Schizosaccharomyces pombe: one gene and its partners. Changing the gene in region 2 together with the main gene of any one other region gives a genetic interaction. Each region holds a gene or a part of one and is shown on either strand. Other genes may lie near its edges.

What was found.
Region 1: mutations in caf1 (region 2) and mug89 together harm fitness more than expected from each alone (negative genetic interaction), as found in Schizosaccharomyces pombe (one large-scale study listed by BioGRID).
Region 3: mutations in caf1 (region 2) and SPOM_SPBC1685.04 together harm fitness more than expected from each alone (negative genetic interaction), as found in Schizosaccharomyces pombe (one large-scale study listed by BioGRID).

What each region holds. Positions count from the first base shown.
Region 1 is NC_003423.3:303,415-314,817, reverse strand, and holds mug89 (phospholipid-translocating ATPase complex Lem3 family subunit), read left to right. Parts: upstream 1-8,120; 5' UTR 8,121-8,326; coding exon 8,327-9,517; 3' UTR 9,518-10,903; downstream 10,904-11,403. Other genes in the region: arg7 (argininosuccinate lyase), read right to left, coding at 136-1,521; SPOM_SPBC1773.13 (aromatic aminotransferase), read right to left, coding at 2,671-4,116; SPOM_SPBC1773.12 (transcription factor), read right to left, coding at 4,874-6,658; asparagine--tRNA (Asn) ligase Nrs1, read left to right, coding at 11,130-11,403.
Region 2 is NC_003421.2:1,960,612-1,970,719, forward strand, and holds caf1 (CCR4-Not complex CAF1 family ribonuclease subunit 7/8), read right to left. Parts: upstream 6,244-10,108; 5' UTR 6,236-6,243; coding exon 5,228-6,235; 3' UTR 4,819-5,227; downstream 1-4,818. Other genes in the region: exocyst complex subunit Exo5-like, F-box protein Pof6, read left to right, coding at 1-1,866, 1,917-2,187; ribosome biogenesis protein Rsa4, read right to left, coding at 2,497-3,108, 3,159-3,455, 3,514-3,909, 3,960-4,163; oligosaccharyltransferase complex zeta subunit Ost5, read right to left, coding at 6,244-6,422, 6,573-6,635, 6,692-6,734; DNA-directed RNA polymerase III complex subunit Rpc53, read left to right, coding at 8,726-9,718. UniProt on the Schizosaccharomyces pombe protein: Acts as the catalytic component of the CCR4-NOT core complex, which in the nucleus seems to be a general transcription factor, and in the cytoplasm the major mRNA deadenylase involved in mRNA turnover.
Region 3 is NC_003423.3:500,590-511,042, reverse strand, and holds SPOM_SPBC1685.04 (uncharacterized protein), read right to left. Parts: upstream 8,380-10,453; 5' UTR 8,171-8,379; coding exon 7,193-8,170; 3' UTR 6,850-7,192; downstream 1-6,849. Other genes in the region: poly(A) polymerase Cid11, read right to left, coding at 59-1,101, 1,148-1,541; htr11 (serine protease), read right to left, coding at 2,127-5,120; vma9 (V-type ATPase V0 subunit e), read right to left, coding at 9,181-9,241, 9,308-9,358, 9,647-9,738.

The DNA of each region.
Region 1 (11,403 bases), on a different chromosome or scaffold from region 2:
TAATTGCGTTAATTAAATATGCATGAAGAACCCATTTTACTAAATGTACAAAAAAACTAACAGAGAGAAAAGGTATTTTATTTATAGACAATTATAGAAAACCTGTTTATTAAATTAAAAAGAAAGACATAGTTTTTAAAGAATTGCTGATCGTATATGCTCGATTTGTTCTTGAACACAATGCTTAGCAGTACCACCAATTGAACATCTTTTTTCAACACTTTCTTCGTAATTAAAGACTTTTGAAACGTCTTCATCAAATAAAGGATGCAATGATTGCAAATCAGAAACTGATAACTTGTCGAGAGTAGTGTTTCTCTCTTCAGCCATGCGAACTGCGGATCCCGAAATATGATGAGTTTGGCGAAATGGAAGACCTTTACGAACAAGATACTCAGCCAAATCGGTAGCTAGTAAATCGGGGGTCAAGCTTTCGGCAATCTTTGTAGGATTGATGGTAAGGGTTGAGACAACGCCAGTCAAAATTTGCAAAGAGTCAGAGACGGTCTTAAAGGCATCAAATAGTGGTTCCTTGTCTTCTTGCAAATCTTTGTTATAGGTTGTAGGTGTGCCTTTAACAGTTATCATGAGGCCAATCATATCACCTAAAACACGACCGCTCTTACCCCGAAGTAGCTCTAAAGAATCAGGGTTCTTTTTTTGGGGCATAATACTACTTCCCGTAGAATACGCATCGGAGAGTGTGACGAATCCAAATTCCGAGCTCGAATATATGATAAGATCTTCAGCAAAGCGAGAAATGTGAAGCATTACCATGCCTGCCCAAAACATAAATTCGATGACAAAATCACGATCACCAACAGCATTCATGGAATTCATGATAATGCCTTCGAATCCAAGCTCTTTACGAAGGAACTCGCGATCGACGTTGAAAGGGTTGCCAGCTAAAGCACCAGCACCCAGCGGTAATTGACTTACACGAGTATACAGCTGACGAAGTCTGCCAAGGTCACCTAATAAAGGCAAGGCGTGAGACATGAGAAAATGGGACCAACGAACAGGCTGAGCCCTTTGTAAATGCGTATAACCTGACATTATTACATCAATCTCCATCTCAGCTCTGTTGGTAAAAACTTTAAGCAAGTTAATGACATAGACTTCAACCTCTTTGATTTTTCTGCATAGCCATAAACGCAAATCGGTGGTAACTTGGTCATTACGACTTCTGCCAGTATGTAGCTTGCCAGCAACATCACCGATTATCTCAGTTAATCGGCGCTCGTTTGCTGTGTGAACATCTTCGTCGGATGGTTCCAAAACGAATTGACCCGAATTCCATTCTCTTTGAATTTGTTCCAATCCTTTTAGGATGCTATTCAGCTCTTCTTCAGATATCACATTTTTCTGGCACAAGGCTTTTGCGTACGCCATGGAACCAATAACATCTTCTTCGCACATTTCCTTTCCACTATAGATGGATTTGTTGAATTCTGCCATCAGTGGATCAGTAGCTCCTGAAAATCTACCTCCCCATAGTTTTTTGCTTGATTTTTCTGCCATAGTGCCAAGATGCTTTTATTCAATATTATTTTCAGTCTACAAATGATGGTCTAATTTTCCTTTACTTATATAATAGCGTGAAGAAATGACTTTTTCTTCTCAGATATTCGCACTTATCATTTTAGCTTTTTTCTCTAGTTTAGATAACACTATACGAATATGGGTCAAAATAACATCCGTGGATAGCAAGTACTCAACAATCAAGCTCTTATTGAAAGTTGATCCACTGCTAAATAGCAAGTTATTTTACCAAATACTAGATAGTTAGTTTGGAAAACGCTTTGCCAAATGATCAATAGAGTCGGAATTTTTGTAGACGAATACCGAAATTGAAATTAGCCACCTAGAAGTTGAGTTTCATATTTTTCTTTTCTTTTTCTTTACTTTACATAGCAAATTCAAGTATTCAACACCATTTTGATGAAATTTCTTCCAAAAGGCTGTTTCGAAGTGAGGTGTGGAAGCATCCACTTACAAAATCAAAAACAGATGTTCGCTAGCAATGAAATTCCCAGACACATGCCTAATTTTTACAATAATGAATAAATAATACATTCTTTATTGTTTAAAAAGTTAAGTCATCTCAAGTTAAGTTGCATATCTTTATTCAGAGCAAATTACTCTAATAATAGGGAACAAATTAAAGTAGAAAATTGAGTTGTAATATATTACCATTTCTCATTAGTTATGGAATTTTTCATAATACATTTGCACATTGTTGAAATAATTTATTATACGAGCTATGCATTTGAAAAACCTACTCGTGCTAACCAGCATTACTTTCGACACACTAATGAAAGAATTAGCTACATTAGGATCTTGAGCTGTTGTCAAAATGCTTAACGTAAATTTAAAAGAAATATTTCAACTTGGTCAGACTATTGACGATCTAAGTAAAAATGCAAACACTGATCACGAAGCACATAATATTTAAGTACAAATAGTAAAAATCACAGGGTCAGTTCCTCTTGACAAATTTTTAAACAGTGTTAAGTGCAAGGCCGGCATACTTTTTATAAACATATTTGTCTCAAAATCTGAAACCTTCCTAAAAGTGATTATTAAGTAGAACACAATTTAAAATAATCTGCACTTTCAAAATTCATATATTTCCAAGGAAACAATATTTCTTTGACTTTTATAGATGATTCAAGGGCAGATTCGTACTCTGCTTTCGACATTAAAATGCTCATTTATGACTGATGTAAATCGCTTAATTCCCTCCTCAAAGTCCTCAAAGTCAGCAATTGAATATGCGAAACGGAAAAAGATCTTAGTACTACGTTCTGGATTTGCCATAAAAAACTGACCACAAACAGTTTTTACACCTTTTTCTACAAGCGCTAGGAATATTTCCATTTCAATTTGGGAAACTGACTTTTTCGTATCCGAAAAGCGGTAATGATTTAAGTTTAACTCAACCCACAAGAATAATCCAGCTCTTGGTACGTGATAAATACAAACAGAATTTGGTAGATACTTGTTTGCTACATTAAGGAATGCGTTTCGACGAACAGTATAAGAATATTGCAGCTCCTGTAACCATGCACAAAAGCCCTCTTGACCCCAATTATGCAGCATTGCATACAATACAGATTGGCAAATACCAGACGGGCTTTCCGTGCATACTTCTGCAATCCGTGTAATATGATCAATAAACATTGAATTTCCAGTAATATAGCCAAGGCGGGTTCCTGGAGCAATCAGTTTAGAGAACGAATCAAGTCGCAAAACTCGACCTTCTGTGTCTAAACTTAGCAATGAAGGGACCAAACTCTTTAAAAACGTTGACCCATCACATTTTTGCTGTGCAGGGTTTAAACTTCCGTTATAATCTTCCATTTGTAGAAAATAGTATGGCTCATCTTCAACGATGATGATATCGTATTTCCTTGCTAATGCTAAAAGCTTTTTGCGCCGACTTAATGACAAAGTAGAACCAGTAGGATTTTGACCAGTAGGAACTGTGTACAAGACATGAGGTCTAGGTCCCAGAGATATATCCCAGTCTCTCATAATTTCTTCAAGACTTTCAGGAAGCATACCTTCCGAATCCATATCAACAGATACAAATTGAACACCTAGGGCTCGCATTGCGGTGATGGCAGCAGGATAAGTGTACTTTTCTGTCAAGACATGATCCCCATAATTGACTAGCAGTCGTAAACAATATTCCAAACCACTTGTATTACCATTACTCATCTTAATATCCCAGTTTTCGTATCGGGGAGCATGAATCCGCCGAATGTGTTCCTTTATAAATCCCACCAATTCAGAAATTCCTTGGCATTGGCCATACTGCAAGGACTGAGAGAAATTTAAAAGACCCTCAGAAGGATCAGCTTTTATGTTAAATGTTACATTAACCTCTTTGGCGTATGTCCCATTTTCCTCCTTAAAGCAACCAAGTTGAGGAAACTTGATAGAAAGCTCACGGATAGCAAACTTGTTAGGATGAGGTAAACCTGAGGAAAAAGATATAGCGTCAATCCCTGTACTACTTTTAATTCTTCCTAACATTTGAAAAGGGCCTTTCTCACGAGCCTTGCTTTCTCTCGACAAATGATGGCTAAAATCCTCACTATTCCGGATCATATTGTCAAAAATATGCGATAGACTCAAAAGAAAAATTGAAGTAGTGATATGACAAGGAAGCCTTTATAAACTTCTTTGGCCAGTTTAATCATTCATTGATTACTGTCATATTTCACTTTGGGCGGTGGGAAATCATGATCAATCCATGGATATGCACGTCTACTGACTACGGTCCCATTTGGATACAATAGGAACAGATATGAGCATTTTTTGAGATTTCCGATTTGGAGCAAATTCCGTTCCACGGGTCAACTATGGAGAGGTTAAAGAAACGAGACTTTAATTTTTGTCATCTTACTATGCCCCAGCCGTGGAAGTCGGAATGATGATCCACGGATCTAAGATAACTAGTGATCGTCTTTGAAGCAAAAGTGTTTAAATACAAGTATTGGAAAATGTTGACAAAAGTTTTTGATTACATTTGCAATCGATTAAAATGGTGATATGAAAAAAAAAAACACAGAGAATAGTGTGCGCCTTGAAATATTTCAATAAGGAATATATGAGCTTGGTTCATTTTCTTTTCAATATGAAACAAATAAAAGTTTTAATCTACCACTAATAAATAAATTGCTTCTGTTGTAAGCAAATACTCAATGGCTGCATATGCTGAATTTTTTTTATTGTTTACGTTGAAACAACTCTTTGTAGTTGGTTCATTTTTTTTAAAACCTTACTGAGTACATGCGAAAATCCTTTTGACGATTCTCGAAATGTAGAAAAGTAATATTTATAATAAGTATTCAAAGAAAGAAGATTACACCAACAAACTCTCCAGTTCAAAAATGTTGGAACCGACAGAAGATTTAAGTTCTAAATAATGTTCTGCAGCATCAATACAATCCAAAGCAACGCGAGATAATTTGTCAGCAAACTCTCCGTTAATCTCCTTCATTTCGACAAAAAACCGATAGAGTGAATACATTCGATCCAAGTCCTCGATTTTTTCATCACTGGTACCTTTTTCCATTTTTAGGATATTGGAAAAAAGGATTTGAAAAGGTGTAAAAGGACAATAGAGAAACAACCATAAGTAACAAATCTTTTTAAAAATTGGTTCAATAACCATGAAGTAGCTTCTTATGGCATCTGCAGCTTTCCGTGCAATTTCTAGGCATGTTTCATAATTTGTAAGAGGATCGTAAAAGTATAGTTGAGTAATACAATACGATAAGTAAATTTCAACACAAGCAGTAAATATATGTTGATTTTCGAAATCAACATTCTTTGGAATTGTCCCATTTAATTTAATAACATCGTAGTACTGTTTCAGCTCGTCTGGCAAGTTCCTTTCCCAAACAATCAGTTTTCCTCGAATGCTTAATACGGCTTCCTTATAGACCTCTTCACTTGCCGAAGCTAAACACTTGTATATTTTTTTCCTTATTTCGTTTTTAATAATGGTTAACTGGATTTCTGAACAAAATACTATACCACCTTGACTTGACTCTGTAAACCGAGGCAAAACATCCATGGATGGAAGTTGGCAATCAATTTCTAGATCACCCAATTCCGGCGGTGTTCCAAATATCAGAGAGGTAGTTGTTTCGAATATATAACATGTCCAAAAAACCCGTCTATTTAGCTCGTCAACTTCAATGTCGACATTAGGATTCGTAGCTTCTTTGTGAAGATCCAAATCCTTAACCATTAGGCACATTTGACCGCACAAAACTTTGCAAAGATTATATAAAGATAAATGTGCACAAAATTGTATCATAATTGTTAAAGCTTGGATTTTATCCAGGCGCGCTGTAAGAAAAAAGCCAGGTTTCTGGACCAAAAACCAACTTGTAGAGAAAAGCGATTTTGATATTTTTTCTTTATCTTTTCTTTTGCTACGGGACACCGCTAAAGCCATAATGGCATAGAAGGAGACAACCCAAGCACCTTTTGTTTTTTCTTTATCGGAATAAAAGTTATCAAAAAGGTCCATAAAATTTTCTAAATCAAATAAAGGCCAACATGAATTTATATAGCGAAAATACCACTCAACACACCGATTGGCCCATGCTTTTTCTGGTACATTGCGATATACACTAATCCATGTAGGGAAACTTTGAGGAAACAGATCATTCATGGTGTAATCCTTGGGATGAATTTGGAAAATCCCTGGATACCTTCTCATTTTTTCATCTATTAGAAAACCGCAGTTTTGAATTTGCTGTACAAGCGATGGTATCTCGTTCGACGTTTCTCTCTTTTCTGACAGATCGTAGTTGAGCAAATTTAGCATATCGTCAATCCGAGATTCCATATTAACAGATCTTTTGCTTAACGTTATAATATGATTTCTCAGTTCAATCATTTCGGTGTACTCTCGAGTAATACCAGCTGTTGACTTCTTTACAGGCGGCTGCCCGACGACGATATGTGGGTCATCCTTGTCTACGTTTGGCTTCTTTACTCTTTTTCTTTTATTATACTTGCACGTTTCTGAGTACACTACACAATTCTGGCATTTTGGCAATTCGCCGTTACACCGAAGTTTTCTTTGCCTGCACAAGTCGCAAGCTGTGCTAATTTTTTTTATTGGTACCATTGTTTGCACATTTAAAAACTTCCAACAACACAGTCTTTTAGGCGTTTTTTTGGAATATTAAATTTTTTTGAAACTACTCGTACAGGGCACCTTGCAATATATACAATTTTGGAATTTTGTGCCATTGATAGTAAACAATGATTATCGCCGATCGATTTTTTCGCTTAATTTCGAGTATATTTCAATGACGCGAGCGCCATGATAATAAATGAACATTCCTTAAATGGGACAGATAACAAAATAATCAATCCAATTTATGGGTGAGAGAATTGTTCCTTACTGCTTGGTATCAATTTCAACCTGCCGTTCTTCATGTGATCTTACAAAAATCCATTAGTAACATAGCTTCATCATTATAAATACCATGGTAAACAGCCAAAAAATGATAATAAACAAGTCTAATCAAAAAGAATAAATGTGAATATTAATATAATGAATAGGATCAAAAGATAATGTTAGGATTTGGAGCTGAAAGCAATGGGAAGCAAAACTTTTGAATGCTACCAAATTATTCCGAACAACTACTTAAATGAAAAAATCTTTAACAATTGCTTGATATCAAACAACTTTCATTTTAGCTCGGAAATTCATTTTTAAAGGCATGAAATAAATATTGGAAGGAGCCATAATCATTCACATTTTTTGTACGTTAATTAATAACACTATGTTTCAATGTCCAGGCTTACTTATGTTAATTTAAATAAATGTGTTGAATCCCAGTTAATTGCCTAATGAGATTTCGACTTTGAGGCATTATTTACTACCATCCGAGGTTTTCAATCAGGTAGTTAAAAAAACATAAAACAAACATCAAAAGAGGTATATGATAATTAGAGTTACATATACTGTATCATTAGATACGTTGTCTCGAAAAAATGAGCTTAGTGTGGCACCAATCTTTTTTTCTTTTCTTGCAATTTACTAGACTCCACGCAGGTGGTCATTTTCAAATACTGTTTGTTTCTTTAGCTGGGCAATTTTTACCGGTAAAGTGCGCACATTTTCCTATCCAGCTCGTAAATATATTTCAAGCATTTTACTTCTCCTCTTTTGTTAACCACAGAGAATAGATAATTAATACACTTTCTTTTCTTATCTCTACAGAATCAAGTCGATCAGGTATACATTTTTACGACGAATCACTTTGAATATTATTTGTAGCAGAAAAACCATCGTCTATAAAATTTTGAAACTTCCTTTAATTGAACATCATAATTTTATAGTCCCGAAATATAACTACTATACATTAACCAACAAATGTTCTTCCCTATTTTTAAAGAAGGTATTTATAATAGCTCTTCCTTTTAAAGATGACTGCTTCACTGGCTTTGTATAGAATTTTTTTTTAAATTTGAATAGCGAAATGTACCATATTCGCAATGTCAATTATAGCACTATTAGGAATACGGAGTAATTATTTAACGCAATTTTGTATATGTACGTTGCAGATTATGTGTTTACTAAATGCCAAACGTAGAAAAATCCGTGGCTTTCAAATATCCTCTTTTTTAATCCATTATAGGCTGTTTTATTGCCTTTTGACCTATTTTAAAACAAAAAATCAATAATTTTCATCTAGAAACCACCAAAATATTACTTTTAAATTGTTTTTAATCACTTTAACGGGCTCGCTTTTAAAAAGCGATCAATTCAAGACCTTTGAGAATTATGCCGGAAGCATTAAATGAAAATGTTTCAGACACTGCATCAAATGGGCCTGTAGCAAAAACTAGAGCACCTCCTAATACTTCCTTTCGCCAACAAAGGATCAAGTCTTGGCAGCCATTGTTAACCCCTAAAATCGTGCTTCCACTTTTTTTTGTGTTAGGAATTATATTTGGTCCATTAGGAGGAGGATTACTTTATGCTAGCTCTATCGTACAAGAGCTAGTTGTTGATTATACGGATTGTGAGACTCTGGCTTCTTACGATGAATTCTCTGCCGTCCCTTCCAAAAAGTACACAGCTTCATTTGATCAATCAGGAACTATTGGATTTGACAAAGAATCAACCTACTGGAAACTGGAGAAAATTCTCGATAAAGATCTAGATATGGACGTTAACTACTGCATCATAAGATTCACAGTCCCATCTGTTTTAAAGGCGCCTATTTTCATATATTACCGTTTGACAAATTTTTTTCAAAATCATCGACGGTATGCTAAAAGTGTAGATGAAAAACAACTACAGGGAGTGGCTTTAACTGCTGACGAAGTTAAAGGAGGCAATTGTTTTCCTTTGGAAGTTAACGAAGATGACAAACCATATTATCCATGTGGTTTGATTGCAAATTCTCTTTTCAATGACACTTTTTCGTCACTGAGACTGCTGGATGATAATAGTGTTTACACTTTTTCTACCAAAAATATAGCTTGGGCTTCAGATAAAAGACGATTTTTGAAGACAAACTACAGTCCTGATGATGTTGCACCTCCTCCCAATTGGGTTTTGCGTTATCCTGATGGTTATACTGAATCAAACATGCCAGATTTGTCAACTATGGAAAATTTACAGGTTTGGATGCGTACAGCTGGTCTGCCTACTTTCAGTAAGTTGGCTATGCGGAACGATAACGACGATATTTTTCCAGGAACATACGAAATAAAAATTGGGTTGTTTTTTCCTGTTAAGAGCTTTGACGGTACCAAATCTCTGGTTCTTACGACGAGATCGGTGCTTGGAGGAAAGAATCCATTCCTTGGAATAGCTTACATTGTTGTCAGTGCTGTTTGTGTTGTGTTAGGTACCGTTTTTACATTAAGGCATTTTATCCGTCCAAGAAAGCTTGCCGATCATCGTTATTTAAATTGGGATTCTGAAGAAAATAATTTAGCACCCCATTTGAGTGATCGTCCTTAGGTTTGTCGCGATTGCCGACTATTTACAACTCTGGGTTGTAATTGCAAAATTAGTTTCCTCATAGTAGAAGGAGTTTTCTCTGTCTTCTTTTTTTTTCTACGCCTTCCGTTGTCTTTAGATTTCTTTTATTTATCAAAGGGTAGAACTATGTTGTTTTAGGTTTGATGATTACGATTGCTAATTCTGACATTCATATTACATCTTTTTGCTATACTCAATTTCATTAAAATATGACTTTTGAGGTATTTTGATGGACCCCTAATTTTCTTCATTACTGGCTTTTCAAAGGTAGTATGTGTTTTATATTTTGCTACTCAAATTAGTTTATTGTAACACACTAAATTTATCATTCAAAAGATCTTTGGAATGCCTTTACATGTACCATTCGTTTACATTTCATTCTTTTACGCTTTTCTCTTTAGTCTCATGAAACTGAGATACGGATTTTTTTTATCAATTAATAATTCGCATTATTAGCAGAATTTGTTACTGAAGTGTGCTAGCAGGTCATAACTGCTATTCTTTAGGATAAAATTGTTATGCGTGCTTACTTTGGAAACTCTATACCTGTTAATGATACTTTGGTTTAACATACTGATGAAAATATTACGCTGTTTGTAACAATCATAAATTTTTGCATTTTTCTTTTATACTAAACCGCTATTTGCTTTCCTCTGCTGCTCCATTTCTTGTCGTTCAAACCGTTTAAAGCCGTTGTTGACTATGACATTTGTATAATTAAAATTAAAAGCGTTGTAAAAAGGAAATGCTGGTGCGTAAAAGAATGCACTTGTGTATTGAAGTGTTGTGATTTGAGGACAGTCTACAATAGGTATGGCGATAAAAGTAAAGTAAATATCACTACTACCTGAATTTTGCAAGCTTATTGATATACGTGAATTGAACATTTATACCATGCCATACTGTATCATGTCAACAGGTCTAATTGGAATACTACGAAAAAAAATCATCTCTCGATATACAAAAGTCAGCACATGCTTGGCTGTATAGCGAGAACAAAAACAGAAAAAGACGATTTTGGTTATTCCTACAGACTATGCTAGCAATTAACTTATGGAGAAGTGTGTTCTTTAACCTTGCCCTACATGTAAAATATCCACTTGTAATTTAAAAAGATATTTCACAAAGTAAATTTTTCTTTTGACAATATTACAACCTTAGCTAATTTACTTTTTTTCTACCCATTGGATTTACTAATTTAAGAACGTGAGAAGCCATAAGTCAATATGGAATGAAGCAATATCTTATTGACAAGAAGTTTTCGTAGTTAACTTATTTGAGGAGTCTATTGAATACACACTGGGTTGACAATTAATTGCTCTATGTCAAATCGACTGGGGAATTAGCAATAACCATACTAATGTGATACAATGAAATGTAAATTTACAATTAAATAAAAGTACTTAATATTTCAAATATTAGCAACTAGCCGAAATTTTGGAATCATTAGCCAAAAAAAAAATTAACGCGCTTTAGCAAATGTTCTGGGTTGTAGATTTGCAGATAAGACACTCTAACGAGACTATAAGTTATCCAAGGCCGGTTATTTGATATTTAACATTTTCACTAACTTCAAACTGTCCTTTTAAAAATGGCGGGATTGGAATCAAAAGTTTCTGATATGAAAATAAAATCAGACGTTGTTTTTTATATAGACGAAGCTTCCGGTAATGATGAAACTGGCAACGGAAGTCAAACATCACCATTTAAAACTGCAATCCATGCTTTGGAAACTGATGCCAACTGTACGATCTTTGTCAAAAAAAATGGCAGTGAAGAGTTTGAGCCTATAACCACCAACGCTTTAAAGAAGGCGAAAAAGGGAGTTGAACAAGCCGCTAAGAAAAAGGCTAAGGCAGCTGAAG
Region 2 (10,108 bases):
GAGTCAAAGAGTTGAATTTGCAAGATTGGATTACATAAAGGTTTGGAGAGCATTGGCTCCTATCTACCGAAATCTGGCTTATGCTAGCAATACTATTGACCCTATTGCATTTTCTGCTTTTCGGACGCCAGAGGAGCAATCGAAAGTTCTGAAGTATTTAATTAGGTTTGGAAATTCTTATCCCTATGGAACTTATCGACAGGCGATGCAAAATGCCATTCTTGACATGGCTTCATTATTTGAGCAAGCTTGTCTTGATGAATTTGAATTAGGTCTTCATTCTCGTAATCTTGATCTTCTTCGTAAGTTTTCTCATGTTCTTCATGATTTTAGTGGTCCAAATGCATACGTGAGCATGTATCTAGCAAAGCAAACTGATTTTGTTAGGTCTTTCTTCCATTTTGATCCGTATAGTTTGTTTATTTCCAATAATCTAGAAGAAATTCACATTAATTGGAACATCTTGGAGTCTGTTGTTAACGACACTATCAAGCTTTTAGAGTCGGAATCCAAATTCTCTGAAGCTACTTTACCTGAGCCTGAGCTTGTCCAGGTTCCTTATGCTAAAGACATTCTTGGAAATTCACTAAAAGACTATGTAATATCAATATGCGAGCATATTGGTGAAGAAGAGACCGAATTGTTCCTTGTTTTTATTTCTGGATTTTATGGCCTATGCAAGAAGTTTTTTTCGATTCCTAATGGACCGGCTTTAGTGGATACAATTTTTCAACCGCAAATTGATATTTTCATTTCTCAGGAGTTACATTACTTTAAAACTGTTGGCTGGTCGCTGGTTGATCAGTGGGACCAAAAGCTGGAAGAAAAAGAAGACGCTACAGAATGCTTTTTTTACAAAAATGTCAGCCAGAATACTGCCAAAAATAATTTTTTGGAAACCTTTAAAAACGTAATGCTGCTTCCAGTCTCTCTTTTTACAATACCGTCAGAAAACAATAGTGCATCTAATTTGGCTGAGAAAGCGATAGAGCAGAAAGAAGAAGAAGATCCAGAACTTTCAAAGTTGGATGCTGCCCGATTTGTTCCTGCGAATATATATGTTTCTAAGGACCGATTGAAACATCTCCCTACTACCGAATTAGCCGCGCAAGCTGCTGTATTGGACTCAAAACTTGAAGGTATCAGCACCATGTTTAGTTTGGAATTAGCTTTGAAAATCGTCCATCTTTGCAAAGTTAGTTTAGCTCGTGCTAAAGTATTTATGGGTACCTCGGTTCCTCAAGATGATGATATTAAAGGGCTTTCGAAGGACTTATTCGTTCAGCTTCTGCGGGAGTTAGGTCAAGGCCACTTAAAGCATGGGTTTGATCGAGCAATCGAGCATCTCTCTTCTTTTGATCCTCGACGCGACTTTTCTAGTAATACTGTAGAGCCAGTGGTGAAATTTTTGGAGCTTATCAATGTTGGTGATATGATTCAGCAGATGATGGATAGCTTTTTTAACGAAGAAATGAGTCCTATATGTGTGAAAGATGATATGTTTGACCCTGCAATTGCAGAAAAAAAAAAATTCGAGCAGCTTTTGGATGAACGGGCAGCTTTCGGATTACACAAAGGCATTAATGTTCTAATTGAGCATGCCGATTTTTTGCTGGAAACTAAAACACCAATGAATTTATTTAGTGACCAAACTATAGGTTCCATAACGAATACTATAGAGCCTACAGCTGCTGCCAAAAATGTGGTTCAATTTTTAGGTTTCCACATGCGTATTCTAGTTGGAAGGGCCGATCATGAAATCCTTGATGTTTTTTATAAGGAAGTCGGAATGAGACTTTTCGATTCCTTAACACGTTACATAAAATCTCATAAATTCAGTGTCGATGGCGGGCTAAAGTTACTCAGGTGAGATTTTATTCCTTATGTTTAAGAATTATAAAACTGACTCATTTTAGCGATTGTAATTTGTATTATGAATTCATTCACTCTCTTCATCAAAGCAGCCTTTTACCATATTTTAAGACATTGAAGGAAATTGCCCATTTATTTATTATTGATGGAAAAAACGCCGAAGAGATTGGAAAACTGGCTACCGATACTTCTCGATTTTCTAGCGCATTTCATACCGAAGAGGTTTACGAAATCCTTCACAGTCGTATTGACTGGTTAAACATCAAATACGAAGTAGATAAAGTAATCCATGGACTGGCATGCTGTATAATGTAAATATTTTTTATTTTTTGTTCATATCCTTTTTTTGTTATTACCATACACTTTAAAAATGCATCTTGCTTTCTGCTTTAGGCTATAATGTTTGTTTAACAAATTCGTTTTTTGGACCTTTTTTAGGTTTGTGTCTATTATAATATCCTCTAAAAGTCAATCAATTTTAATGTCATAATAAATCATAAATGCAGTAGTTATTAAGGATAAAAGCCAAAACCATTTTATTAACCTAAACCGTAAAAGAAAACCAAATTCCTGAAATTAGTTCTAAATTTTTTAACAACAACTATGCTACCGAAAGCGTAAATATCAGTGTGACCATATACGGACTGCTTTATCAGCGCCTCCAGAAGCGACACGCTGTCCATCCGGAGACCAATCCACCGCAAAGACTTGATCTTCATGACCTGGTAAATCAAACTTCATCTTTTTGGATCGTACATCCCACACCTTTAGCGTCGTATCTTGAGAAGAACTGACCAACAATCGTGAATCTGTAGACCAGGCACATTGATAAACCGCAGCAACATGACCACGCAAAGTTGCAAGGAATTTACCGGTTTTTCCATCCCATAGCCTAACTGAGCTATCGAAACTAGCTGTAGCAATACACCGTCCATCAGGAGAAAATGAAGCATGGTTTACTACCTTTTGATGTCCATGCATTTTTGTGATGGGCTTCGTTGATTTCTGTGGATCCCATAATATTAATTGCAAATCATCACTGGCAGAAACCAATCTCTCTCCTGACTGTTTTAAACAAGCCTCATAACGCTCTTTGGCCTTACGACGCTCATCAGAAAAGCTTTTTGGTTTAAAATCAGTATGATCATATGCACCCGAACGCAAGACATGCTCGGTGGACAAGGAGAGATGGTTCACACGAGCGGCATGACCTTTTAGAATATGCAAGCATTTTCCCTTCAAAATTAGTAAGTAAATAATCCCTAAGTACAATTTCCTTCACTTACATCTTTAGCATCCCAAATCCGTATGGTTTTATCATATGAGGAGGAATAAATCCAGTTTTGACCGCCCCAACGGACACAAGTAATTGGCGCGGTATGACCCGAGAGAGTAAAAAGCAACGTCCTTAATTTGACATTCCAAATACGAACTGTATTGTCTTTTGATCCAGAAGCTAGTAAATAGGGGCCACTGTCAGGAGCAAGATGCAAAGGTTGCCAACATAGTGCCATAATAGGTTTCGTATGGCGTCGTAGAGCATCACCTATAGGGCTCCCCTTTTTGGGATCCCAGAAACGAATCTAAAAATATTAGTGACTTGCGACAAAAAAATCATAAATCCATCAAAAAGTTACTCACCGTATTATCCATGCTTCCTGTAGCTATGATAGAGGCATCAGGGGCCCAAGCGACGCAAGACACCCAGTTAGTGTGACCCTTCATGGTTGCAATAGGGGTTTGCGTATCACAATCCCAGAGCCTTGCCGTGAAATCTCCACTTCCAGTAACTAGCCTCGAGCTTGTGCTAGGCGAAAATTGGGCAGATATAATGGTACCATCATGGCCATTCATTGATGCAGTACAACGAGTAACAGCACGGACACGAAATACAGCTTGAGGAGTGTAGAGTAACGTTAAGTGATCCTCAGTTTTCATAAGTCCATTGTGAAATACAGAAGTGTATAAATTATCTTGAATTTCGATAGTTTCATCTTCATGATGAAGAGCAAAATTATACGGAACAGGATCGTCGGACTGTGAGGATTATGTTAGCACATTTACAGAAAAAAAACTTTCATTCTTACATTCTCTAATAATTGGTTCAACAAGGCTTCCAATTGCCTAACAGAACTATTTCCAGGAACTAAAAGTGATGCCAGTTCATTGCTATCATCTGACGCCCGAAACTGAACGTTAACGAGCGGGAATTTTTCAGGAATTTCTATAGTAGTAGGATTTAAGCTCTCCTTTTTTTGACGTTTACTTTTAGGAGGCAGTAAAGTCGCCATTTTAGAAGGATTTAAAAAAGGAAGGATTTGGTAGTGGTAGTAATGAAAAATACTTACACTTAGTATTCTTAAAAGAGCTGTGATCAGATAAATTTTATCGCGCCAATGATGCATCGCGATAATTTTAACAACGATCTTCAGCGAATAGAAAAACAATTATAGCTAATTAAGCTAGATTTAAGCGAGGTTATAAAAAATTAGTTTCTGCATGTCGAACAAGAGAAACAAGATCTTAGAGTTTTTATAAAATAAATTTTAGGTAATTCTTTTATGCTTGATCAAATTAACTAGAAGAATTATTGAAAATTTTCAGTATCTCAAGAAATGGTTGGGACGACGAGGTAGGTGATATTTTGTTCATTGGCTTGGGAACCTTAGTGATAAAATAAAAGCTAAAAACTAAAATAATAGTTTTGAGATTGTAATATTTTAAATCACAGGATAAAGCACCTATCAAAAAAAAAAAAGCTTTACTAACTAAAGTTGATGCTTGCATGAAGATTTGTTACAACATGCACATAGAGCTGTTTTGGGGAAGCATTGGAGTTGACCGATGATAAACATCAGACTTGAAATCTACGCCGGTTTGCACCGTTGATGCTGGGTTGGATGCTAAGCTATTACGAATTACAAATACACGGATACATTATCAGTATATGAAGGAAATGGACTATATTATCTATTAATACAAAACCCGATGAAAGGCTTTTTTTGCTTCCAGATGCAAGAGAGTTCATTTCGCTGGGAATGAAGATGAATAATTTTAAAGTAAATCATCGCAACAAAATAGAAGGAAAATGCTCCTCACGAAAATGAGTGGATACAAAAACTTTTATGCTGAATTAGCGGGAAACTCCAACCAATCTCTTAAATAAAAAGAAAAACATATAAAAATCCAAAGTATAGATTTTATGGAAAAAATCTAGAAAAGCATATCGAGTAAACAAGTTCAAGCAAGGGTATACGTGAGAAAACGAGAATATATTAAGTTAAAATACAAGCATCCCGAAAGTACTTTCAAGGACTTCAATTTTTTAACGGTATGTTTTCAACTAGCTCGTGATCTAAACTACACGAGGAGGAAATCTGAATGTTGAATTGGCGAAATTAGGTGCCGAAGAAGTATTCGTTAAAGTGGTGGGAATCCCAGCATTAGATGGAGTAGGACTAGGATGGGCACCTGGAAGATCTCTGAATTGAATCTGTGGGGTAGATGAATTGTTGTGCCATAAAACGCTACCGGTTGAGCCTAAACCGTATAGCTGGTTGAGCATCCTGGAATCAATGGAACCATCAAAATACCTCGACCTTATTTCGAAAAATATTCTCGCGGTTAGCAAGGCATCACTTCCAGCCTGATGTTGGGGTCCTATACGATGTATTTGTAAATCGTCAGCAATGTCTTGAAGACCTTTAGAGTTGTTCAACACAGATTTCATTATGTATTTTATGTCGTAATTTTTCGGAAAATAAATACAAAGAATTTTATAAAACTCCTCATATTCAGCGGGTAAAGGGATTTGTGTCATGGCTTTTAATAAATAGGCAAAGTCATATCCACTATGAAACGTTATCCACGTGACCTCCTCTTGCAAAACTAATCCACTACCAATGAGGAGCTCTGCAAAATCTGCAGGCTCTATGCCAACCTCTTGATGTTTCTTAAAGTCAATGCCACTTTTTGTGAGTAACTCTATGCTTTCCGGAGCGTACATATCGTCTTGTAGATTGAATGTAAAATTAAATTGCCATGTACATGCCTCGACAGGGGCATTTCCTTCCTCGTCACTTAAAGCAAGCCCAATTTGAATGATTTTTAATGAATCTACGTTTGCCCGTAAAGTTTGATAGTGGTAGTCATCACTACTTTTAAAGACGCCAAGAGGTCTAGCAACTACTCCTGGAAATTCTGTATCCATAGAAACAACTGGATACCTTTCTATTAGACTCATTATAAGATTCATCTCTTGTTGCAAATTCGTGGACCAAACGTCCCGAATTGGTGATATTTGGGAGCTGATTCCATCCACTCCTAATGCAGGATAAGAAAAATTCGAATTCATCGCTGTCATTACGTTTTTTAAACAGCAAAGCTATAATGTAAACCAACCTGGAAAAGTAGGTTTTCGTTTGGTGTAAGTAGACTTGGATTGTTGAAGAATCCGCTGAACATAGATGCGTTAATTGTGAATACTGTAATATACCACAATTTCCTTATATGAATTCTTCTAATCACAAGAGAAAACATTGATGATGAAACTAAAAGTTAGTCATAGAAGGGTCAACTATTAAGTTAGGTATTAACTAACCTACAAGTGAAACTAAAGTTATTTTAATGGAACAATACTGTCATATGTTTGTTTGGAATATTTATTAAATCAAAGACTTTCTGTCGGCTTACCAAGCTACTTTGGATAACGATTTGAACTTGGCAAAAAAATATGCAATCTGACTTTTGTTCTTTATTATAAACTTCTCGTATCTAAAAAATATTTTTTTAAGTAAATTTATGCCATTAGTAAGTCGACAGAATAATTTTAAAGCTGCAACGATTAATTCGTTCAAGCTCATTTATTAAGGGAGAGTAGCAGCAAGAAAGCTAAAGTATGAGTCACTTTGTAGAGTGTTGAAATGTTATCTTTAGTAAGTACTAAGTCCAGACCTCAGTGAGAGATTTCAAAAATACTATTTTCTGTAATTGTATCTTAATGTCAGCAATCGAATTGATGAGCCTAAACTTAAGCAATCTCATCTAAATTATTAAGATTTGATCTCTTATTTGGCAACATTATAACTGAAAGATTTTACTTTTCCCTTCAAACAACTCAAAAGAATTGTTGAGTCATGGCTGTCTTTAGTTAGTGTTAGTATCGCAAGAGGAAGACATGCTCCTTCAGCAACGATCTATCTTCTTTTCAAAATATGTGTATTATTAAAAACATAATAAATTTGCAGTATTTGGAATTCAAAATTTATTCTTTACTTTATAAGCCCAGCTTTGAATTCTTCAATAAGCAACATATTCGTTTTTTGTATGTTAAATAAGGTTAATTTTAAACGAGGATACATGTACCACTAAATTTTAACAAAATCCTATTAAAAATTAAATTTGTTTTTTCCCTAACTTTTAAATTACTTGTTTGCAGGTATTTCAGTTTAAATAGACATCTTAAAGGAGTATTTGAGTTCTTTTTTCTGACTGTATTCAATTAGAATTGGATTTCCTTATGGCTTAATGCCGCTTGAAAGATATGGAAATATGACATTAACAAATTTATACAGAAGCCATTTGACGTTCAATTCCTTATTCTATTTTCCAGTAGTAGTATTGCATTGAATTACCAGCACTAGAATTTCCCTTAAAATTTGTTATATTTACTTTTCTCCTTAATATTGATGGATGTTCAAATGTATGATTTTTCACCTTCGCGCTACCTATTTATAAATTTTTTCTTCACACTTTGATATTTTATTGTCAGTTAGTATTAATATGAGCCTAATGCATCTTGGCCCGGATTTATTTCGACGCAGGGATTTTGAAGGCAATAAATATAATCATTAACACTTTAGGTAAATGAATCTAAATTCTCGTAAATTTTTTTTTTGTTTAAATCAAATTTAATTTTCGGCCACATTTTAATAACAACATTTAATTTAATTTAACAGGGAACTGTTAAAAAGCCTTGATTATTGAACCAATTCAATATTTCCTTCAAAAATTAACAAATATTATATTTCTAAAATTTAAGCTACTCGAAGACTTTGACAAATACTGATTTAAACCTTACTGTAAGCAGTTGTCAATGCAGCTCTTACATTAAAAAAATTATTTAATAAAAATTGCTACACAATTAGGGTTCTTTTCCGATTCCTGCATTTTTACGGATCTCTTCTTTCGTATGTTTATCCAAGTTTGGTTCGAGTAACCTTCCAAAGTTTATAGAGTTTTAAGAAAAAGCGGTACTCATTTTAGAAAATTATTTTAGTTTAAAAATTTTTAAGGCTTGGAGCTGGCTTTTTCATACTTGTTATTCCTACCTGATGAATCATTCAAATAATTGTGCGTCAAATATTTAGTCGTAAAAATATTCATATTTAATGAAACAGTATTCAGAAAAAGTTGATTTAAAAACTAGTAATATTAAAAAGACATGAAAACAAACCATTTTTATATTTATATTTGTTGAAAAGTGTATGTCTCAAGAGTTACTATTAGTGTTCAGTATCATTAGATACATATAGCACTGGAAAGATCAGATCTTACCCAATACCAATTACACGCCAAATAGGCCAATCGAGGGTTCGTGTATTTTGGTTAAATACAAAAATTAAAAGTTTTTCAATAAATCTGTGATTCTTGTATTCACCTTGGCGTCGTGAAGACAAGCAATTGTTGATCAGAAGACAAGGTTTCTTCATCCAAGTTACTATAATTGTTGGATCGCCTTTGAATGATTATTAGTTTAACCAAGTTGAAAAAATAAACTAATTAAATAACAAAACAAAAAATTTATATTATTTTGCCCTATATATATTTTTTTCTTTAATCAGGAGTCTGAAATATGAGAAAATTTACTCCGAAGTTCGTCCCACGAAGAAAAAATGGGCCTGTTGAAGAAAAAGATGTGGATGAGCGTGTTAAGATAGAATTTGACGTCGAATCTCAAAAAAAATGGAAAGCTTCAAGGCCGAAACCAGAAATAAAGCTTACTGCCTCAGGACCTTTTGCATTAGGCCCTAATGCCTCTTCTTCTGGTACTGGCCGCCCCATAGGGTCTGTGTATGTGCCACCTCCTAATGTCAAAAACGAAGAAAAAGATGATGCCCTGTCCAAACTTGCTGCTTCTTCTGGCCATGATGAAGGCCATGATGAGGACATGGTCGACATTCTTAAACTTCGAGAATTAAATGGCCAAGAGCAGGGGAAGACAGATATTGGAGGGAAAGATCTTTTAGTCCCCATAATTACGGATCGTATGCTTCCTGAGTCGAATGATGAAAAACTCAAGCACCATGCTGAAAGCGCTATTCATACGACAGTTATTAACAAGGAGGACGAAGAGCAAGAAAGAGTTGCCTTGGATTTGCAATCCTTAGCTCAACACCTTGGACTGACTGAGCAAGAAGGAATGGAAGATCATTTTAAAGATCAAATGGTTCTGATGCAATTCCCTGACAAGCTTCCTAGGTTTATGGGTGATGCGGATGTCGATCCAGTATGGCCATCGTCCGAAGTCAAGGAGGAAGAGGCAGGTGAAAAGACTGACGTAGAAGAAAAAAAGGATCCTGATAAACATGGACGAGAAAATGGTAATATTGACGACTTAACATCTTTACCCTATCCCGCATTTCACCCACCTGCTGGTCAGATTGGAGTTTTGCGTGTTCATCAATCTGGAAAAACTACATTGGAGATGGGAGGCGTAAACTTTGTTGTTCAATCTGGTTCAGATTGTTTATTTCTACAAGAAATAGCCGTTGTTGATTATGATTCAAAACGAATTTGGAACCTTGGTTCCTTTGAACGTCGAATGATCGTTAGTCCTGATTTTTAAAAAAAAAGTTGAAAGCTTTTTTTGGTTAATATATGTTTTTATTCGCTACTAATATAGTTATTTCCTTACTAAGCGACGAACAGTCAGAATTTCCAAGCACAAAGTACTTCCCTTGTGTTTACCTATTTATTTTTACTCTCTGAATAAAGGCTTTTAATAAGTATTATACACAAAAAATTTTTTCAAGTATCGGTTTTCAACTTGTTTTGGTATAAACTAATTCAGTGTTTAAGGTTCTGTAAGCAAGTAAAAAAAAGTTGGATAAATAATTATTGAGATAGTTATGAAGTCCATTAAATCTTATTAAATAGTCTGTCTATTGAAATTAGACTCGCATTCTTGATAGTAATCGTGAATTATTGTTACCACTGTGTTTAAACCATTTACCCT
Region 3 (10,453 bases), on a different chromosome or scaffold from region 2:
TTAACCATTAGGAAACATTCTCGGATTTTGCTTTTACTTCCTTGGTGCATTGCTTGAATTAATTTCCGGACGCAGGATTTGATGCATCTTCAGATGGGTACCATACTAACCAGGATTGACATGGAATATAGTGCCATGGAGGAGCTGAACCTTGTGTCAACGAGGTCTGGCCCTGGAAGTCCGAATCTCTGTTCGCTTTGTTTTCATAGCTTTGATGGTTACTTTCATCCGGTATGTAGTAGAGAAAGTTCATATTTCCTCCATCGGATAGGGTAATTTGAGGAGGATAATAAGGTTTTGGATATGCAGCAGCTTCAGGTAAAACAGTATGATTGCAACCAAATGATTCATAGGCGGTATTGAAAGGAGTATTCGTGTTCCCATAATTTGCCTCATTGGTAATATCTAGGAATTGATATTCTTCGCATATTTTACACAACCTTTCGCATGCATTATTCTCACTCATAAGTCGAAATGCCCGCTGAAATTCACTCTGAAGTCCTTTGACGCTAGGATTGTCAGCAGTATTTGCAAGGTTTCGAGCAGTATTGAAAGGCTCTTCGACACATAAAGAATTGTTCACCTCCATGGCCCAACCTTTTTCCTGTTTGTTCAGTACAGTTCCCGATCTCACAGATACCACTGAGTCCAGATAATTAAACGAAAATCCATAGTAGTAAAAAAAATCTATTAAAAGTCTCCCTAAAGATGTTTTGTTGAGAGTTGCTTTCTCCTTGAACCCGACAATGTCATCAACAAACATTTTATTATCATCATTACTCATTAAATCGAGCATTGCAGGTAGGATTGGGGGATTTCTCGTTTGCAAAAAATTTACCAGCATACAAGAAATTGTATAAGATGTAATTGTTCCGCTGCCTGCAGCATCACATAGGGCCCTTTGCTTTGCCCAATACTTGATAATTAATCCTAGTGGCCGTACTCGCGGGTCGATTGAGACAAAGAGACGAAGCATCTTAGTATTAATCTTTGCCACGTCGTTATTAATATTTAAGTCACAGTGTATGTCAAACTGTGGATCCCAAATTTTAACTATAGGGACTCGTGCTCTTGAAACGCAGACAATTTGTTTCATGCCATCTGTTTCCTGGTTAGCTTAATTAAAATAGACATACTGATAACTTACAAGAGTAAAGTAATTGAGCCAATTGACATGTTGAGTTTAAGTATTTGCTACCATTGGTGATAATGCACACATCAACGTCCGACTGTTGTATAGCCAAATTGTTCTCAGTGGATCCGAATACAAAGAGATCCAATTTAGCATCTTTAATTTCGGTACTTAAAATAGTGCGCAGCTTGTCAACAAATTGTTGACGCCTGGATACTTCTTCATTAGAAGGTTTTAGTCGCATATATAATTTCCAGCACTCGTTAGTCAGTTCAGCATCCACTGTTTCATTTATTTGGTCATTTCTATGTTCAGATTCTTGTAGTTGTACTAGATTAGCATCAAAACGTCTTTTTTTTTGTTGCATTTGTCCTTCAAAAGGGCAACAAGTAAATGTCAATAACTCCATATTATCCAAAATTCTGATAACCTCTGTAGGTGGTTTTAAAAATAATTGAGCATCAATGCTATTGTGCAAAAATTAAAGTGTGTAGAGTTGTGTGCTTGGAATATATTCCTCATCACATAAAGTATAAACAAATGAGCCCTTTGTTTACATGACCAACTTTATGCTCATAAACAAATATAGTTATTTATAGTAAGTTAAGCCTCCTAAATAAAAATATTAACTTAAAAAATATTAAATGATGATTTATTAACGCCTAATAACCTAAGCCGAATTTGCAAATAATGGTATGTGAATCTACATTTCAATTTATTATAGCAACCAAGTGAACCGCTCCAAGTTCAAATAATCAGCTCCAGCTTAAAATAAATCCTCATAATACTTTACTAGAGTAATAAAACATAGATAAATATACTTTTCAAAAGTGCAGAGCTACGTAAGTTTTGGTCTAAAAACAAAATTTAAAAAGAAAAATTTCATTTCTTCAACTAGTTCTTGAAGAACAGTTAATATACGTTAACATTCATGAAACATAACAGGCATATAATAGCAAATCGATATGATACAAACAAAGGGACATAAGGAATTTTAAGAACAAACTTCTTTGGTCTTACGCTGTAAATGTTTAGTGCACCATCTACCATTAGAATCTCTTTCAATGATACAAGTAGGCCAAAATAAGGGATCTGGTCGAACACTGACTATACTAGTAGCACCACGACGGTTCATTTGCTTAACCTGAACAAAAGTATCAGTAGGCTTCTCTAACAACATATGGTAGAAATCGTCAAAAGTGTTAATATCGTGACCATCTACTGCAACTATCCAATGCGCTGCACGAAGCATATTCAAAGCTGGCGAGCCATATAATATGCTGCCGACGTAAACCCCTTCAGGTCCAGGAAGATCAACATCAGGCTCAACTTGCTCGAAAACGCTTGAATGCGTTGGGTGAATGATAGCACCCATCCAGCAAATTGCACGAGAACTAAAAGTGGGATATTCGGGATACAAGGGAATTGTTATTTCCATTTCAATTCCATCGCGAAGGATGACCGCCTTTATTTCACTCTCGGTTTCAAACTCATGAAGGTCCGATAGACGAGTAATCATCTTTCCATTAACCTCCAACAGAATATCACCGACTCCAAGAGACGTTTTGTGAAGTAGTGGGCGCAAATGAGAAATCACATATAAAGGTCGAGGGATGGTACCGTTTTCTCTGGATTTCATATAAAATTCAGACGATCTGGTTTGGGATAATCCAAGTGTAGAAGCACCTGCCAAAGTGATATGTGACCATTCCACCCCAGCTGTTGTTGGCACATGCTGCGCACGAGCTGACGGTGGTAACTTAAGCCTTTCGAGAACGGGAAGAATGTAAGACATTGAAAGACCATATTTAGTGGTATAGTCTTTTCCACCAACATCTTGGTGAACAACAGATATCCAGAGTGCTACTATTTCGCGATCGTCGCCTACTTCTCGAAACACTAAACCTCCAGTAGAAGCTAAGGAATCCATTAAAGAAATGACTTCGCAATTTACGTACCGGAATCTAGGTGGAGAAGAGCGTTCTGTTTCAACAACAGATACACTTCGCACTGTTGTTTTCTTTGTCAGCAATTGCAAATCTTCGTCGAGAGCAGCCAGCGTGCATTCATCTCCTGTCCGCAGGAAATCAGCGACGAAGTTAAGTTGCACAGAGTTACTGGGCAAGTAATCGCACGAGACTACAGCAATTCTATTGTCCAAAAAAGTTAAATGACCCATGGCGCTCATCGACTGGAAGGTCAAGCGAATATCGCAAATATCAACAGGTATAACAGAACGATCGACAACTATTAATGGTGGCACTACAGAAACAATTACTCCGGTACCACTGTATAGCTTAGTAGAGCTGAATCCGTTGATGCTATATGGCATTCGACAATGAACCAGAACCAATGCATTTTGAATCGCTTCCATACTTTTGGATCCCTCTTGTGGTCTCGGAATTACACTAGGTCGGCGAGAAATAGACGGCTGAGGAGGAGGGAGACTTTGTCTGTCCCATGTCCCTTTTTCATCATTCCTTGAAAAGATGCTAGCCAGGAAAAAGTGTCTATCAACTGTCACTATCGTGAATTCTTCTTCATATTTACCAAGGACTCTAAAGTGCATAGGCACTCTGGCATTATCCGTCAACTGGACCAAAACATCAATGAAAGCATCCAAAGTTGGAGTGGGTTTATTGGCAAGTCTGGTAACTAAAAAATCGCGGGTTCCAGAGGACCAATTGAGCATACCAGAAGAAGCCACATATGTACCAGAATTTAAAGAAAATTGGTATGAACGAGCAAGCTGATAAGACAAATCGTGAAGCACCGCGCCTCCGACTTCCAAGAAGCGTGAAGGCGTTACGTTATGCAAGTCTTGTACAGTCAGTTGAAACGTTAAAAAACCACGTTTAGGACGATAAACATGCAGCTCAATCGTTTTACCGACCATTTCATCTAAAACTTCGAATAAAGAGACAAAATCAACAATGTATGTAGACTTATGAGAGTCTGTTTTGAAAGCAATTAATATATCGCCAGGTTCCAAAGCCTTAGAGACTTCAGAATTTCTGAGAACTCGCGAAACAACCAAAAGACCAGTACTACTAGGAACACGGGTTCTACAATCGTATTCAAATTCCCTTGGAAGGCCAATGCGACTGAGTTCGTCGTATGACCAATGTAAAAACTCGGTAAGAAGAGTACCACGAGTAATAGGAGTATTGTTCTCAATACATCGCAAAGCTCGAACAACCCGGTCCAGAGGAAGATAAAAAGAAGAGGCACTGCTGTTGGATCCTCCCGAGTTTAAAGCAACGGCGGCACCAGAGATGTCAAGAACAGGACTGCCAGAGCTGCCTCCACTAGTTCCACTAGCTGCCTGATAATAAAATGTATTAAAATCGTTGTAGTTGTCAATTCCGTAGTTTGGAGCTGGACGATCAAGACGAGCCAAAGTGGAGCTTAAAATAGACAATTTTTCACCAGCATCGTTACCAATAATTCGAATATCTATACCTACCTTGGCTGATTCAGGGGAAAGTGAAATTTCAGTGACATCGTGGAATCGAATGGAAGATGGATCATAACGAAAGAAGCCAAAGTCATGAACAGGATCTCTGTAGATGGGATAAATATCAATTTCTTCATAGTTTATGAAAGAGGCACGAGCTGAAATGGGTCCTGGAGAAACAACGTGTCTGTTGGATAAGATAAGACCAAGTGTTTTATTCACGACAAAGCCAGTTGCGCAAAAACTACCGGCGCTTTCAGTATCAAAAGAGCGTAATGCGGAGCCTTTAATGGAAACGATACTTCGAACAACATTTTTAATCGTATTATCCCATGTATGGTGAATCTCTTTGGTATCTAGATAACGTTCTTCATCTGTATTGCGAATGGGAAATGGTTCGCTAACATTGTATAAACCTTCAGCAATAACATTCTGTTGCTGGGGCGTATTACATTCAGAAGTAATTTTATCAGGACGAAATTTGGGTAGGAAAATGTGATTAGGCCGATAATCGGAGGAAACTGGAGTCATGATGAAAGGTAGAAACCGACAAGAATGTAAACAAAAGCACAAGATACAGAAATTTATAACAAACACAAAGAAAAAGCGGTTGAACACTAGGTATACTTTTGAATCTCGATAGTGTTTAACAGGCTTTGCTTTGTAAACTGGACAAGCTTTAATTGGAAGAATAAACGAATTTAAATAACAAATGAAAGTTTATAATAACTTTTGGGCAACACAAGCAAAGTTCTAAACGAGCCGCGAAATACTAATTATCAAGGCCAAATAAAACTCGAAAAGTCAATCAAGTACTGACACTTGTAAGCCTTTTTTGTAGGATAAATGGAGAACACTATATAGCGACAAAGATCTGTTTTCAGTTATACAAACATACAACAATGTCTGTTTGCAAGGAATTACAAATCAATTGCGCAATGGCTATCAGATGGATATATGAAGGAATTCCTATATAGAAATCTCAGTATCCTTAATTTGACTACTCAAGCAATAAGATAATTTACCTGAAACAGTTATAATATATTTAGTAAATCAAATATTTTGACAATCTGCTTCACTTTACTGACACACCAATGGCAAGATAACGATAATAATTGCAGACGGTGGCTTGAATAGTTTGCAGAAATCCTTTCCAATTCAGAGATAAGAAAAGATTAGCCTTTATATCTTTTTTTTTAATTAATCAAACGAAAATGACAGGAGTAACGACAAGTAGAAACAAAATACACACACAAAAACGAAACAATAAAATAAGTAATCAAGTGTATGAATGAGAAATTTTAAATCTTGTAAGCCGTAAAAAAAACGAAAAGATTTTAAAAATTCCCAAACTCCACTGTATGGACAAAAACGAAGCGAAAAGAGAATGGGATTTGCAAGAATAGTTTTGATAAGGTCAGTAGCAATCGGGGAATGCTATGATAATAAGCGTAGAACAATGATCTCCCTTTCTTTTCTTTTGCAGATAAGCTCGATCCTGAATTTTAAACTACGCAGTTAAAAGTAATATTTGCGATATGATGTCTAAATTTCGCTATTGGAAGATTCTTGTTTCATTCGTTTTGCCCATCGGCAACGCGGGCTTTCAATTCAATATATATGTAGGTGAACGATGTTTGCTGTAATAGTTAACTTCACTAGCGTCTCATACCACCAGCAGACAAAGTGCGTGGCAAGCCGTTTGATCAACAATTCTATTGCTCGATGATTTTTAAGAGTGATGTCAAAGTCCGAGTGCGGCAAAAATAAGACAGCGTAGCTTTAGAAGTGATTTCGATGAATTTCACTCAAACGGAGGATTGCGACGAACAAGGAGCCGCAATGTCGTTTGTTCAAAATCGGATTTCTTGGTTCCGTGACATTTTGCAAATAAGCTAGAATCCATCTTCATACGACTGTGTCGTATTGAATGGAAATGGAAAACTGAAAGAATGGGTTCGAAATGGAAAACGACATTCTGAGGATGTTTGACAGAATCGGTTATGTGAACCGAAAGTGAATGTACGTGGTATTAGCGTAGAATTGTTTGAAAACTAAAATGGTGTTACTTTTTGAAAACTGTTTCGTTTGTAGTAGGTTGATGGTTGAACAAGACAAAACAAAGATTATTAAGGTAGCTTTAGATTCAGGGATGTTTATTATGACAGTGTTTGATTTGGGTAGGAGATTGACAGTTTAAGTATGGAAATAGGCATTCAATAGCATATTTGAATTGAATCACTAATGAACTCGACTCGCATTACTTTAACATTTTGTCATTTGTTGTGTAGAAGAGAGTTTGAGAAGACAAATCAAAGATGATCAAAGTTGGTGTTATTAAATAAATATCATGCCGAAAATACAGCTGAAATAAATATTATATACGATTTTAACGATGTGGTGCTAGATGAGGCTGAAAATCTGGAGGTAAAATCATGTATGAAATATATATTTCTCCACAATTAACAGGTATCTTGAAGCCGTGCAGGGTAAAAGTAGTAAGGCTGTCGGTCAACACGCCAAGGAATGCATTGTGCCATTGAATGACCATATTTTAATATTAGAAGGTTGTATTGATAGTATACGGAATGAAAATTAAATTATTAGGAAGAAACGGGAGTCGAGGTTATCGCAGTAAGCATATTCTCAAAATATACAATTTCGAGCTCTAAACAAACAATGATTGGCTTCCATGTATTGGAGTCAGCAATCTGTCTCGCCGACTCCAAAGAGTGAAGAGTCGAGGTCAAGAGTGATAATACACTAGTGCGCTGAACGTCAGTTAATGGAGGCAAAGCAGCTTCTGATAAAGAAGTAGGCCCCAGTATTGAGATTAGTTTTGTTTCGACAGCTTGGATTTGATGGATCAAACGTTGGAAGAATTGCATTCCTGGAAGTGCTTGCCCGACCATTAGTCGCAAAAGATCTTCTCTTTTCTTCAATACTTCCATCCGTTTTTCAAGGGAAGATACATTAGCATGTGCATCATACTGCTCCTGCAGAGTTAAAAGGCGATCTTCCATACTGAGTGCCTTTTTCTTTTCTAGATTATCATAAGTCTGGAGTCGTTTTACAAGGGTGTTTCGTTGGTTCGTTACAATCGCCAACTTTTCCTGCAAAATTTGAATTTCCTCATCTAAATGTGTAATGCTTGTCTTTAGATTCGATATTTCTTCCGCTTTGTGCACCTCTGCCAGACTTGCTTTGGTCGATTCAATTTGGGATAAAATGTCTGTCTGCGAGTCCCAACGGCTCTTCAATTTCCTTTGCTGGCTCCTATATAAATCAGCGTTTTCTTGACAAGCTTGACACCATAACTGCAACTGCTCAGCGATGGCTTTTCGAATCCTGGTCAAGTCGTTGGGCTGTTTAGATTGAAACAACACTTCAGCCAGCTCATCCAAAAGCGATTGTATTTTCCTTTCCACTTTTGGAAAGGAGCCACTTTCTTCCATATTGTCAAAAAGCTCTAAGCTACGCGTTCTTGTCGATAAGCCAGAAGAAGAGGTACCTTCATCATTCAGCATCCCTTCATTAGACTTGTTTGGGAATTCGTCTAGCGGAATATATTCTTGTTTCATTTTAAAAAGGTATAATACACGAAAAATCTAGTAAATGCGTAAATTTGGTAAGTTCAACCCTTTTTTCTTCATAACAGAAAATTATATCGCATTCAACATCACTAGTGTAAGTTTTTCGCTTTTTTTATATACGAATCTTTATTTTTTCAGTCTTCCTATCTTTTCAAGAAACCAATCCGTTCAAAATCACACTGTAAAATGTATTTCTTAACTATCAGTGTGTGCAAATGTCTATGTGCTATAGTGGAACAATGTTGAATAGTCGCGAACTTGTGTTTATGAAGCCAGTAGACCTTTAATAACAATTCAGACTTTCTCTATCTCAAATATTTTTTTTAGTCAACTAAAATTGCGTATTAGGAGCGCCACTACTATCATGAACTTCAGTCCAAATATTAAACTAAACTTACAACATCTTAGAGTTTTTGGCACCAAAAAAACTTTTGAATATCCTGTTGTGTCTATTATTTCAATTTTTTATTGTATTTCTATATGATTCAGTATATTTGTAGCAAGGCTTTTGATAACGTAAATATACGTCGCCTTTCATACACACATCCGAGTAAAAGAAAAAGCGACAACCAAAAGACGGGGAGACCAATAAATCTAGTAAAATCAAAGAAAAGAAATAATGAAGGTATATCCTTTCGCAAAGATTAAATGCAATGTTGAAATCCACGTGAACCGACCTTTAAATAACGCCAGGTTCCAGCCATGACTTAACTGACTCCATATATATATTAAAATAAGAAACGTTTAAAGATATGGATTATAAAAATAAGAAATACTCAAACGTGTTTGATTTGTAATAATAATCGACAAACACCAATAGGATTTTAGAGACTAGAAAGTTGAGCCCGACGATCAGAAACGAATAGTATCAAAAAATAGGAAGAGGAAAAGGTTCAAAAGTAGATTCTAATTGGAAAGCTTGCAGTCTAAACGATAAGTAAAATAAAAGAGGAAGAATGTACAAACATTAAAAATCACTATGATTATACTAAACTTCATTACTCAAGAACTCGAGATGGAGCCTCTAATGGATGCAACTGTGCTAAATAAGTAATTGCCCTAAGAACGATGTTAGTAAAAAAGAAAAACAATATGGATGCATAAGAACACCACAAATGCACTAACCATAATAAATAGCAACAAGAAAAAGTAAGAATTAATGACATCTGCCAAGTACTAATTGAGAGTTAATAAAACTTTTGTTAAAGGAAGGAGTATGAAAATATAATACAAGCAACTGATCCCAATTCCAGATTGTCCATGTGCAGCTGAAGACAAGGCCTAAACAGCGCTACCTTGATTGGTTGCAAGAAAGACAATCACATATACTTTTCCATATCTCTAAACGAAAATGAAACGAAGTAAAAACAAGCTACTGATCATAACACAAGACTTTAAATGGGAACATAATTGCTATACCTCGATATATAGATGATTCACTCCAATCAGTAGCAAACTTCTTACCTAGTATTATTTCCCTTGGGCGAGACATAGTAAGAAACTACACTCATTAAGGCCGTCAAAAGGCCGACAAGTAAAACAACGAGACCACCCATTAGAATGCAAATTACCTACTTTCAATAAATGTAACTTGCACGTTAATGGTAAATTATCGAATGTGCGTCTCACATGAACATATACTGCAAATTAGTGACACCACGCATAGATAACGTAAACATAAATCAGGTAACAATAATCATACAAAGGCATTAAAAAAATGCTTAACATAGCCTTCCAGTTATATGAATACGATCCTTGAATAAAAAAATGCTCTTTAATGCTAGCGGACATCATAAAGACACCCTTCCTCCATTTTTTCTTATGAATTCTATTTATGGTAACCCTCAATCCATTACGTTAAACTAAATATTTAACAAATTTACATTACCGTGTTTACTATAACGCATCAGTGTCAGGCTCCCAAAAATTCTGTACTTTCCAGATTCTTTGAATACTATTATGGACTGGTTAGTTTCAAAAGAGATTGTATTAATTATTTTCTTAACTTCAAGTAGTACTCGGAAATCATTCTTCTCACTAGTTTATAAAACCACCGAGCACTTATGCAGAGAGTAAACTAACACATCCAATAATTACATCCACATGCTTAATGCTTTCTTATTGTACTTAACTTTCTTTTCATAACATAAACTTTTTAAATCACCAATTACACTTTTAAAATTCGTCTGATTACCTGCGCCGTAGAAGCGATGAACATAAAATGCTTTGTGTAGCTTCATAGTTATATCCTTTTGTGTAATATTATAATAT